Linked DNA regions of Oryctolagus cuniculus. The protein of the gene in region 1 purifies or fractionates together with the protein of each later gene. This does not show direct contact. Links are inferred from orthologs where the notes say so. Each region holds a gene or a part of one and is shown on either strand. Other genes may lie near its edges.

The links. Proteins that work in one complex are often made in the same cells at the same time.
Region 2: the proteins of PARP1 (region 1) and XRCC1 purify together in Homo sapiens (affinity purification with western blotting; 9 studies listed by BioGRID and IntAct, with this or other methods). This does not show direct contact. The link is inferred for Oryctolagus cuniculus from reciprocal best matches to the Homo sapiens genes PARP1 and XRCC1.

The regions. Positions count from the first base shown.
Region 1 is NC_091444.1:39,037,522-39,044,172, reverse strand, and holds part of PARP1 (poly [ADP-ribose] polymerase 1), read right to left. Parts: intron 6,264-6,651; coding exon 6,148-6,263; intron 4,971-6,147; coding exon 4,756-4,970; intron 3,302-4,755; coding exon 3,202-3,301; intron 1,113-3,201; coding exon 996-1,112; intron 281-995; coding exon 104-280; intron 1-103. UniProt on the Homo sapiens protein: Poly-ADP-ribosyltransferase that mediates poly-ADP-ribosylation of proteins and plays a key role in DNA repair.
Region 2 is NC_091449.1:12,348,837-12,355,095, forward strand, and holds the end of XRCC1 (DNA repair protein XRCC1), read left to right. Parts: intron 1-1,577; coding exon 1,578-1,671; intron 1,672-1,776; coding exon 1,777-1,909; intron 1,910-2,113; coding exon 2,114-2,165; intron 2,166-2,252; coding exon 2,253-2,392; intron 2,393-3,211; coding exon 3,212-3,302; intron 3,303-3,592; coding exon 3,593-3,668; intron 3,669-3,756; coding exon 3,757-3,870; 3' UTR 3,871-3,961; downstream 3,962-6,259. UniProt on the Homo sapiens protein: Scaffold protein involved in DNA single-strand break repair by mediating the assembly of DNA break repair protein complexes. Negatively regulates ADP-ribosyltransferase activity of PARP1 during base-excision repair in order to prevent excessive PARP1 activity.

The DNA of each region.
Region 1 (6,651 bases):
TCATGAGAATGGCCCAGTTGTGACAAAGTCTGCCACTGCAGTCTTGGTGACAAGCCCCACCAACAGATCCCAGAACCATCCCTCCCTGCAACAGACCCCTTACCTTTGGGGTCACCCATTCCTTCCGGTTGGGTGTCTGTGTCTTGACCATACACTTGGTCCAGGCAGTGACGTCCCCGGTACAGTAGTAAGCATCGCTCTTGAAGACCAGCTGGCCCGAGCACTCCTCGCAGGGAAGGAGGGCACCGAACACCATGCCATCAGCTACCCGGTCCAAGATCTGAAGCCAGCAATGAAATGGTCAGAGGGGAAAGGAGGCACTCCAGAGAAGACGCTGTGCAATGTGGCATGGAGAACTTGCACAGACCTCCTTCACTGCAACAGAGGCTTGCCTGGGGCTCTTGAACTTGCCCCCTGGGCAGCTGGTTTGCTAGGGGGCTTGGGTTCTTGGGTTTTCAGAGACCCATCTCTAAGTGAAGTGTTCCTTCACCTTCCCCATCCCTCAGATTGGGAAATACAGGGAGAGCCCAGAGCATGCCCTGGTCCTGCACAAGGTACCAAGGCAACCTCAACTCCAGAGGAGGAGGGCAGGGAAGAAGCAGCTGGGGAAATGCTGGGACCCTGGCATACCACCTTGCAGAAGGGTCTCTTTCCCTCCACAAGCCTTGCAGCCCCAGGGAGTTTGGGCAGAAGGCAGCTGAGAGTGCTACTCAGGCCAAAGTATGTGGTATGACCATTCAAGGCAAACATGGCCCACTCTAGCCCCCAGCAGAATTCCACAGCAAGTGTCAACATGAGAAATGTCTGGTAGGGCCTGTCCCAACTGCCCCTGGGGAAATGGTGACCACAATGGCAGTGATGACTGTACAACATGACCACCGAGGTTTTACTCCTCGCAGCTAATACCAGTAGGTGTTCAAACGGAGGGCCTCGCATATTCCATTAGGACAGTCGGCCTCACAGGCGTGTCCCGCTCTAACACTAAGGCCGCTCACCGCCGACTCCCCGGAAGGCACTTGCTGCTTGTTGAAGATGAGCAGCTCTTTCAGGTCATTGGTCGAACATACTTTCTTTAGTTCATCCTTGATGTTCCAGATCAGGTCGTTCTGGGCCTAGGGACAAGACCCAGCAGCTGAGTGAGAGGCCTCTCTTTTCAACTGAAGGAAGAGTATACCCCTGGACATGCCTGGCCTCAAGCACACACCAGAGGATTAGCTGAACTGACTCTCCCGAAAAGACGGTCTGAGCAGTAGATTTTAAGTCCTTGCCATGCTCCAGCAGGTCTCAAATTGAATATGAAGCATGGGCTCTCAAAGAGTTGTGCAAGGTGGGGAAGAAACCATTAACAAGTGTGGGGAAGGACGTAACAAAGTCACCAAAGCCCCTGGAATGCATCCCTCAGAAACCAAGCCCACAAGACACACAGGGGCCTGTAAGTGCTAAATGGCCCACATGTGTCGACCACCAATAGCCAGAGGCCAAAGGAGGTAGGGTGTGCCTGTTCTCTGTCAATCTTTTCTTATTTGAAAGGCAGAGACAGATAGACAGACACACACAAAGGATATCTACAGAGAGCCTCCATTAGCTGGTTTATTTCCCAAATGCTACCACCAGCTGGGACTGGGTCACACCAAAATAAGACTCCATCTGGGTCTCTCACATGGCTGGAAGGAACCCAAGTATGTGAGCCTAACCTGCTGCCTCCCAGGGTGCACATTAGCAGGAAGCTGGAACTGGGAGCAGAGCCAGGGCTAGAACCCAGGCACTCCAATATGGCATGTGGGTAGCCCAGGTGGTGTCTTAACTGCTTTACCAAATGTCTGCCCCTCTACCAATTTGACAGTAGGAATGATTCCGAACACTAATTTCTTAATAGTGTATCAATTCAGTACCATGCAGGGACACATTTAAGTTCTCCTGAAAAAGGACTTTTAAGTTTTTAATGTCTATGAAGGGCCTGCTCTTTGTTGTGTACTTTGACAGGTCACCTCACTTACTCTCACAAGTGCCTGGCTGGGAAGAGCATGGGCCTCCCCATCTTAGAGTGGAGGCCAGGGGGTCTCCTCTCTCTGTAGGACTCACCCTCTTGGCCTCAGATTCCCTCCATGTGAAAAAATGGAGACGAAAATGCCAACCCTATGATACCCACAGACTCACCATCAGCACCAAATGAACACTGACTCAAAGCTGCAGTCACTCACATTTGCGCCTGTTTCCCAGCTCCACTGTTAGGGACTCAACAATCTCCCCTGCCCTCCTCCTCCTCCCTCAGCACATGGTGGGACACCCTGCACTTCAAGGAAGTCCTGGGTACAAGGTCAAATGCAAGTGGAATAACTCCTGAACCTCCAACACCAGATGAGCCAGCAGAAACAGAGGTGCAAGCGTGGGGAAGCACTTTGAGTTTCTTTCTTTCCATCTCTGACAACATCAGGGAGAGAGCACAGGGACTGAAGGGCAAATGCACTATGGGCTGTGGCTCTACTGCAGCCAGATGTGATGCAGAGCGGACATTTTTATTCCCCATAACACAAATCTGTGATTCTTTTGTAAGAATCACGTGCTAATTTTCATACCACAAGCAAAACCTGAGTACTCATACCAGAGACAAGAGCACATGGCTCATGGAAATCATGGTCCTCAGAGACTGACTTCTGACTGTTTGCCCCTACTTTCTCCAACACCCAGCATTTTCTGACTGATAATTTTCACACTGCTTCACCACCTGTAGCATAATCAATACCATGATGACTCTCCTTGGTCAATGGTTATCGACTGAACAGTCTTCTCCCCTGTTACCATTATCCCTTTTACTTTTAAACAAGAGATCTTCATTGTAAAAACGTGGGAAATCTACCTCTTCAGGCAATCTGTCTATGCTAAGAATCTCTGGCTTCCTTGAATTCAACATTTGGCCTCCAGTGTATGCAAGAGACCTGGCAGGTGCTGCCATCTCCACCATCCTGAGGTGAGGCAGGGGAGAGGGGACAGGGTGCCAGTGCCTGCCTGGGCCTGGCTATAGCTCTGGCACCCATAGCCCAATGCATATTCTCTTCTGAGGGAAGAGGAGGGAAGCAAAACAAGCTGGGGCAAAGTCAGGCTACCTAGTGACAGCTGTGATCTTGGCAGGTCCTAGTGAGTGGGACACACTTCCCTGAATTTTCTTGCTAGAAGTTACAGAACTGAGACCACAGAACTTACCTTGAGGGCCTTTTCAAGCTTACTCTCCTTGTCTTTTTCTTTTTTAGATTTTTTCTTGGCCACTTCATCCATTCCATCCACCTCATCCCCTTTCCTTTTTCTGCAAGAGACATGGGATGTAAGACAAAGACCCAGGGCCGGAACAACTCAGGCACCCAACATGTAAGCAGGACGGAGTATTTTAAGACCTGTTGGGCCCTGCTCACTCTCACCAGTGCCCTCACCCCACATGCATCCTGCTCAGTGCTCTTAGGAGCTCACTGTCTCTCCTTGGGCAGCACCTGCAACCACCAAGGCAGGAGACTTTATCTATTTCAGAAGAAAATCTACCAGTTGAGCAAGGGGGCTGTGGGTTGCTCCAGGGCCTTGGAACAAGATCCAAGGCTCAAGAGCCATCGATGTCAAAAACCCCATATTGTTTCTTGGCTGGAACAAAGAAAGCAGGAGGTAAGCCCACTCAAGCACCAGAACGGAGCCTTCTGAGCTCAAAACACAGGGCTGCCCCCAAGGCCAAGGAGCTGTTCTCAGAGGCTGGGCCACACTGCTCAGAAGCAGAAGCAGTCAAAGTCGGAGCCTTGCTAACTAGCCATTCTGCCCAGCAGTTAAGACACAGCCTCAGCTGGCATGCAGGCCTGGGTTCACCTCACCCACAAAATAAGGAAAAGGCTGCCACTGACTTTTGAGGATCGCGGTGATGGGCAAATGCAACAGCCCAAGCATAGCACCCATCAGACGTGCTCAGCACACTCTGGCCACTATGGCAGGAGAGTGGCTCATGAACTGCGGCACACGTCACGTGCTGCAATGCCCCAGGGACTTTCCATTTTCTCACTCATCCCACTGTCACTTCAACAATCTGTGTGCTGTGAATTGAAAAGACGTTACGAAGGCTGCTCCATGACGGTGGTCCGGTTGCTGTCCAAGCAGCACAGGGCACACGACCCTGCCACACTGCGCAGTGTGCTTGTTTGCAAGCACCTCTAGGTCAGGGCCAAGGAGCCCGCACAGGGTCCACGGGAAGGACTAGGCAGTGACCACAGACTGAAGACCCTCACTGATGATCCTTCCCATCCTAAATGAAAACATCACAAGAGATCTGTACCATCCCCAACTCCAAGCCAGGAACTTATTACCCATGGTCCACTCTGCATTTAAAAATGGCTGAGACTTTCCCAGCACCATTCCTAGAGACCGACACACAGGAACACAATTCACACGCACTCCTGTGAAGGTGGGTCATGAGTGGGTTGGAGGAAATGTGGTAGCTGCCCCAGGCAAGGGGAAAACTCAGACTGGGAAGCAGACCTTCGAGGGGAGTGGGCTCTTGGCAGGGGCTACAGCTATAGGAATAGGCACTGGATGCTCCCTGCAGTCTTCCTCTATCCTGCCCCCTACTCCCACAGCTCTGCTCTCACGGCCCTCAGCCTGCCTCTCCCTGGCTTTCTGACAGTCAGCAAAGGGACGCAGGAGAGCTGTGAAATCTGGAGGGCTCTTGGGGCCCCCAAGGCCCCTCACCAATCCCCAGAGCCCCCAGGCCCCCTGTGCTCTACCTACCCTTCACTCTTGACCCCCGGGAGCTGCTTCTTCAGGGCCTCTTTATCCTCTGCAGAGAGAAGGCTGAAGCCCTTGAGCTGACTTGCACTGTACTCGGGCCGGAAACCCAGCTCCTCCCTGTTCTTGACAAAGCAGTTCGGGTGGTACCAGCGGTCGATCATGCCCAGCTGTGGCTTCTCTGGGTCCAGCATCTTCTTGGAAAGGCGCACCTGACCCTAAGGGGGAAAGCACGTGTAGTTTCTAGGGAATGACATGGCAGGAGGGTAAACATCAGGGGCCAGGCTCCACACCAGCCAGTGAGGGGTCGTGGTCCAAGCCAAGACTCTGCCAGCAACTCAAAGGCCATGGCAGGTCATGGCTCTCCTGTGCCCCCCAGGACTGTGCACCACTCTCAACCTCAGCACCTACATCTTTAATAGGGGCAATTCCAAATTATGCTGTTGGCCTACCTGCCTGGACACAGGAGAACTTCCCCGACCTGGGGCAGGCACAGGAAAACCTGACATGGTACACTGGGCAGAGCCAGTTTTTTTTTTGCTCATTCCCACTTTCTCATGGACAATTTGGACTGTACACTTAGGAAGCCCCCCTATGACTCAGTAATAAATCCAAAGGCAAGAACCCAGTCCTGCAATGATCAGGCCTGGGGTTCCTGCAAGTTTCTCGTCAGAGAACTCAGAGCATGGGGCTGCTGCTGCTCTCCCTAACTCATGCCAGGCAGCGCCCGGCACTGCCAGGCAAGGGAAGAGGACCGTCGTTCTTGCCCCACAGTTTTGGTGGTTGGAAACGGCTGGAGAAGATCTAGCAGTTCCACGGTTTTCTCACTGGCTCAACTCGATTTCCTGCACAACACCCTTGAGGAGGCAGCAACTCTCCATCAACGCCGTAAGTGAATCAATTAGTATTTGGATGTAACATCAGAGGAGGGTGAGAAGGCTGGAGGGCACGGGTCTTCCCTCTGCCTGTGTCTCCGCTCCTTGGACGGCCCCCATTCCATCTCACTGGCTGTCAGCCTTCAGGGACGAGAATTAGTGGGGACGGTAATGAAGTTCCTCTGAGTAGATTAAAGAAAGCTGGAGACTCACACCAGGGAAAACACTCACTTAACCCTTCCAGGACACAAACAGCCTTCCTCCCCACCACTGCTGGGTCTAAAGGAGGCCCAGACTCTCCCAGTGTCCTCCGGGTGGGTGGATGGAGCCACACACACAGCACTGGACCAGGAGTAAGCAGTGCCAGGCTTGTCTGGAAGAAGAGGCATTGTCATCTCCAGCCTCTACTAAGATCCTCATACTTAGCTGCTTATGTTGAGCTAAAGCCCTACTTGAGACAGCCAGCAACATTCAATGTGAGTGATTCGCAAAGTGAGACCCCGGGGCCCTGGGCTCTCACCTTTTCTATCTTCTCCATGCACCCCTTGCATGTGCTTCTGTTGGACTTGGCGTACTCGGCTGCAAAGTCACCCAGCGTCTTCTCTGTTTTGCTGCCGGTTCCATCCTGGCCTTTGCCTTAAGAGTCAAACACACAGCGATGCCCATGTCAGCCATCCCAGAGCACCACAGCTGCTGAAACACCCATCCTCCTCCTCACAAGGACCCTCCCACTAGGCCACCTTGAGCTCTGGGCAACTGCAACTGGTCTCATCTCCGTCTGGAACCACCCCGGTCTGTCACTAACGCGTTCTTCCTGGCAACATGGTGACTTTCCTCAGACAAGCTCTCTAAAACACCACCACGCTAGCTGCTGGCCAGCTGTCCGGCCTTCCTGTCCTCCAATTTCTCTGGAGTGCCCCCTCCACTTTGGGAAGTACTACGTATGTGCTGACTATAAAGCTCTGGCACCATACTAAACACCCCCCTTCTAACTTCCATTATGCTGTATCGATGCAACATGTTT
Region 2 (6,259 bases), on another chromosome or scaffold:
GATGCCGGCACTGCAGGCAGAGGATTAACCTTTTGCGCCCCTACCTAGTGTCTTAACCTCTGCAAAACAGCGCCCTGCACTTTACATTTCAAGAAAAACAAGCCGGCGCCGTGGCTCAACAGGCTAATCCTCCACCTTGCGGCGCCGGCACACCGGGTTCTAGTCCCGGTTGGGGCGCCGGATTCTGTCCCGGTTGCCCCTCTTCCAGGCCAGCTCTCTGCTATGGCCAGGGAGTGCAGTGGAGGATGGCCCAGGTGCTTGGGCCCTGCACCCCATGGGAGACCAGGAAAAGCACCTGGCTCCTGGCTCCTGCCATCGGATCAGCGCGGTGCGCCGGCTGCAGCGGCGGCCATTGGAGGGTGAACCAACGGCAAAGGAAGACCTTTCTCTCTCTCTCTCTCTCACTGTCCACTCTGCCTGTCAAAAATAAAAAAAAAAAAAAAAAAAAAAAAAAAGAAAAACAACTGCTCGAAGGGTGACTCCTGGTGGGTGGCTCCCCTTGTTTCAATCACAAATTGGGCTTTTAAACACTTCGAGGGACAAGTGTTTGATGGCTGCATCCCATGTCGAAGTGCCTGGGTCATGTCCTGGCTGCTGCACTTGCCATCCGGCTTCCTGCTGATGCCCCCTGGGAGCACAGATGATGGTCAGGTAGCTGGGCCCCTGCCATTGACATAGGAGACCCAGATTGAGTTCTGGGTCCCTGGCTTTGCACGTGGACCAGCCCTGGCTGGTGTGGGCATTTGGGGAGCTGACCAGCAATGGAAGATCCCTCCCTCTCTCAAATAAAATGAAAATAAATCTTAAAACTCTTAAAATCTTTGCATACAAAGCACCGGGAAGAAAAAGGTCCAGTCAGCTGCTCCCGGGAGCCTCTTGTCGCAATGAGCAGGACTTCCCTGAGCAGTGGCCACCAGCTTGGGAACCACCCAGGCCTGTGGCAGGCTCTTCCTGTGTGACCCAGGAGGCCGCCCGCCTGTTGTCTGCTGCCGCCTGCTTTGGCCATCTCTCAGTGCCCCGGCTTCCTCACCTCTAAAGTGGAGCTGGAAATGATGCCCGCTGAGGGCCAGGGATGACCCCACGTTTGTCACACGCTGAACACACTGCCACAGGCCGGCGGGTGCCGCGGGTGTGAGCCCGCGCCCTGGGAGCCGGGAGCTCGGCGTGAACACACTGCCACAGGCCGGCGGGTGCCGCGGGTGTGAGCCCGCGCCCTGGGAGCCGGGAGCTCGGCGTGAACACACTGCCACAGGCCGGCGGGTGCCGCGGGTGTGAGCCCGCGCCCTGGGAGCCGGGAGCTCGGCGTGGGTCTTTGAAGTGTCTTTGCTGGCAGGAGTCCTCAGGAGAAGCCGACTTTGGCTCCCAGAGGGAAAGTGATTTCCGTCTGGTTTTCCCTTTCTAAAACGGGACGAGGAGGGAGGCGAGGGAGGACGCCCGGGGCCTGGATGGGCAGCTGGACAGCAGGGGTCTGTGGAGCGGGCAGGCCAGGAAAGAGGCCCCGAGCGCCTGCCGGATGCGGGGCTCCTGCCGCCCCAGCGGCCTCGTGCCTCCCTCCGGACTCCACATCCCGCCCCCAGGTACCTCATGGCAGGACCCAGCTCCAGCAGCGAGGACGAGGGTGGCTCTCACAGCGGCGGCAGTGGGGACGAAGCCCCCAGGCTTCCCCGGAAGGTTTGACCAAGGCCCTGCCAGTGGGGAGGGGGACAGGGAGTTACGTGGTTGCCCCAACTCCCCACCCCAGCCCCCCACATACCCACACTGCCCCTCCTTCCTCAGCGTCCCCAGACCAAAGCCAGGCCCCCTCAGGCAGCTGGACCCAGCTCACCCCAGAGGCCTCCAACCCCCAAAGAGACCAAAGCAGCCTCACCCGCTCCCCAGGATGACACAGACACTGAGGGGGAGCCGTCAGGTCAGAGTCCGAGGGAGGAGGGCTGGGGCCGGGGCCCCTGGGTCCGAGGGAGGAGGGCTGGAGATCCAGACTCCCGTGTGTAAGGGGAGAGGGGTCTGGGGGGTGGGTGGCGGGTCACCAGATGCCAGGCGGCGAGGTGGGGAGAGGGCTCCAGCCTTGCAGAAGACACAGCACCTCCTGGCACTCACCGACTCCCACTCGCAGGACAAGACGATGGGGCCGAGGATTCTGGGGACACGGAGGACGAGCTGAGGAGGTAGGGCCGGGCTGGGGTCAGGGCCGGGCTCCAGGGCTGCGGGGCATCTGCCCCACCTGCTCACCCGCACCCCCTCGGCTTCCCCAGGGTGGCGGAGCAGAAGGACCAAAGGCGGCCCCCTGACCAGGGCGAGAACGGCGAGGACCCGTACGCGGGCTCCACTGACGAGAACACGGACAACGAGGATGAGCCGGAGCCGCCCGACCTGCCAGTTCCTGAGCTCCCAGGTGGGGCTCCCTCCGTCCCTGCTGCGGGCCGGTGCCGTCCGTTCTTGCCTTGACCCGGCCCAGCCAGTCCGGGGGTCACTTCACTGCTGGCTCCCTCTTCCTCCTCGGCCGCCTCCAGGCCTCTTCCCTGTCCCTGTGGCTTACCCATGACATCCCCTTTTGTCCCCACCCCCTCTGCCTCCTCCCCTCCAAGCCCAGTGCCAGGGGTGACCCCTTGGACATGTCCCCCAGGTGAGTGGCCGCCTGGGCTGGTGCTTCACCCACCCCCCGCAGGTGCACCTGTCGGGTGGGGGGACACGGGCACCGCTGTCCATTGGAACCTCGGTGGGCATGCCTGTTCACTTTAACACTAGTCATCATCCTGGACCAGTGGCCACGGGTGTGGCGGGGGCAGGAGCCAGAGCCTCCTGGGTGGAGGGGAGGCCCAGGCCACTGAGCAAACTTGGCAGCTGGCTCCTCATGGGTGAGGGGTGCGCTGTACTCTGATTCTCCAGAGCCCCCAGGTAGCATCAGTCGGTGGCCTGGGAAGTCACGGGAATGGAGAGGAAGGAAGCCACCCGGGGGTGGGCGAGAGGACGCTGCCTGGGGAGGAGGGAGCCCCAGAGGTGGGTGCAGCGTGGTTCTGGGCTCGCCAGCAGGGGCCCGGGATCGCGCCTTCCCTCCAAGCAGAGAAGCAAACCAGCAGCCTCCGGGGGGCGCTGTTGGGCTGGGCACCACTGCCTGCCGCCCCGTTTGGGCCCAGCGTTCTCTGGCTCCTGGCCGGTGTCGTGGCACTGGTGGGGGCGGGGGCTCACGCTGCCTCTTCTCCGCCTCTCGCAGACTTCTTCCAGGGCAAACACTTCTTCCTGTATGGGGAGTTCCCCGGGGACGAGCGGCGCAAGCTCATCCGATACGTCACCGCCTTCAACGGGTCAGTCTCCAGAGGGTGGGAGGGCGCAGGGTCGTGGTGGGAGGAAGAAGCTGGGGAGGGGGAAGGGCCGTAGTCCACAGGGGGCGCGAGCCGTGGAGCGCAGGGCCCGCGCTGTCCACAGCTGCAGTCCTGCGTGCGGTGCTTCCCTGTCCTCTGCTCTGAAGGGCCGCTGTCACTGACCGGCCGCACCGGCCTCTGGGAGAACGCGGGCTCCGCCAGCAGGGGGCAGAGGGTGGGAGGAGGAGCCCGCGGCTCCCGGCCCCGCCCACAGCCTCTCCCCCACCCGCCAGGGAGCTGGAGGACTACATGAGCGACCGCGTGCAGTTCGTGATCACGGCACAGGAGTGGGACCCCAGCTTTGAGGAGGTGAGTCCTAGAGGGGCAGACAAGGGGGGCCTCATTGTCCTGCAGCCCTCCCTTCCGGAACCCCATCCTCCCCCTCTCCCACCCGCAGGCCCTGATGGACAACCCGTCCCTGGCCTTCGTCCGCCCCCGCTGGATCTACAGTTGCAACGAGAAGCAGAGGCTGCTTCCGCACCAGCTCTACGGGGTGGTGCCCCAGGCCTGAAGAGTGCGGGGCACACGCGCACACACGTACATACACGCACATGTGCACACGCACACGGGAGGTGGGCTTAATAAAGACGACTTGGTTTGCAGCACCTGCCCCTTGGCACACAGGAGTCCCCCACGCCTGTCTCCTCTCCCCCGTGGGGCCAGGAGGAGATGGCCCCTCCGTCTGGGGGGGCAGGGCTCTGCCTGTTCTCCCCGGCCCCACCGCCCGTGTGGGAGAGCAGGGAGCTGAGAATCTGATGGTGCCGCAGCCCAGGGAGCCTGTCCTGCCACCCGGTCCTCCCGCCGTGGACCGTGGGCTGGAGGCCTGGACGGCTGGACGCCCGGGAGGTGTGCTGCTCTCCAGGGGCCTCCCCTTTGCCCCAGGGCCTCCAGAAGCCGCCGGGGGCATCACCAGTGTGGTTTCACCTCACCTCATTTAGGAGGTGGGTGGGAGGGGGGCCCTTCAAGGCTCTACCAGTTCCAAGTGAGAGCTGAGCTGTGTCAGGCAAGCAGGCAGGGGCCGCGGCATGTGCAAAGGCCAGGGGGCGGGAAGCAGCCCAGGGCAGCTGGTGGAGGACTGCTGCCCTCTGTTTCAGGGGCACGTTCAGCGGGAGCGGGCCCAGTCCTCGCAGCTGTGCCGTCCCGGGCAGCAGACACAGACACCCGGCTGGGTAGTTTTGTCTGAGAGGCAGGGAAGCAGTGGGCAAAATGAGCTCCCATCGCCGGCGCCACGGCTCACTAGGCTAATCCTCCACCTGTGGTGCCAGTACTCCGGGTTCTGGTCCCGGTTGGGGTGCCAGGTTCTGTCCTGGTTGCCCCTCTTCCAGGCCAGCTCTCTGCTGTGGCCAGGGAGAGCAGTGGAGGATGGCCCAGGTGCTTGGGCCTGCACCCCATGGGAGACCAGGAGGAAGCACCTGGCTCCTGGCTTTGGATCAGTGCAGTACAGCGGCCGCAGTGGCCATTTGGGGGGTGAACCAATGGAAGGAAGACCTTTCTCTCTGTCTCTCTCTCACTAACTCTGCCTGTCAAAAAAAAAAAAAAAAGAGCTCCCACCTGCTGGTTTACTCCCCAGATGGCTGCAGTGGCCGGGGCTGGGACACTCCCTGTCTCCCACATGGGCGTCAGGGCCGTTACCTGAGCCGTCAGCGTTGCCTCCAGGTCTGTAGTAGCAGGAAGCTGGAGTCGGGAGCCAGACTCGGGAAGGGCACCAGGCACTCCGGTGGGGGCACCAGCATCTGGAATGCTAGGCTAATCAGCTGCCCCACAGGTGACCATTTACCTCATGTGAGATGAACTCCATTCCTTGGGTCACACCGGCCATGGTGGCTCCCCGTCCCTGAGGGGCTGTCCTGAAGGGCCGTGAGCACCAGGCCGGGGGCTGAGCAGAGCCAAGGCCAGGGTCAGAGCTGGGCTGAGATCTGACCTCTGGGGAAACTTCTTGGGCCGTCCCAGCCCCTGTACCCCTGTGCCGCCTCAGCCAGAGGCCAGCGGCCTGGCTCCGTGCACGTGTTCGTTCCTGCACACATGGACGGGCCACTCCTGTTAGCATGTGCTGTGATGTCACAGGTGTGTGGCTCGAGACAGCAGACACTGGTCATCTAGCAGGTCCTAAGGGCAGAAGTTTGACGTGGACTTCGCTGGGCTGATAGTCCGGGCGTGGGCAGGGCTGGGTCCCTTCCAGGGAGTCTGCTCTCCCTCTCCCACACCCCTCCCGTATTCAAGGCCAAGGACAGGCAGACTCCTCCCTCTCAGCCCTCCACATTGAGACCTGTGTTTACGTTGGGCCCAGCTGGACCTGGTACGTGTCAAGGTCTGCTCAGTAGCAGCCTTCATTTCCTTCTTCTGCCTATGTCTCTGCCACGTGACGGGTCCCCAGGTTCCGGGGATGATGTGAGCGTGTGTGGGAGGCCCTCCCTCTGCCTGTCACGCCTGCCCCGGGAGAGATGACAGTCCCTGACCTCATGGGGCTGACACTGCTGGGGGCAGACCCTGGGAGATGCAGTGGGAGCCGATAAGGCAGGGCAGGGGCAGGGTGGACTAGGTGGGCCTTGGGAAGGCCTCTCAGAAGACCCGCCCCCTCTGCAGGGACCTGGCAAAAGGGAGGGAGACTGGGAGCTGCCTTCCAGGCCCAGGAAAGTGAGTGCAGGGCCCTGGGGCAGAAGTGCCCTGGCTGTTCACGGAGCAGCAGGACTCGCACTCTGCCCCTGCCCCATTACCGGCTTGTGTGTCAGTCTCTTCCCTCTGGCCTCACTTACCCCTGCACAAAGCAGGATTGAGTCAGATCGTCTCTCTAGTGAGTGCATCCTGGGAACTTGGAGCAGCTGTCCCAGGACAGCTCCCGGAGAAACACAGTTGCCAGTGGCACTGCTGGGTTGGGCGCAGGGGGTTGGGTCCTTGCCCTC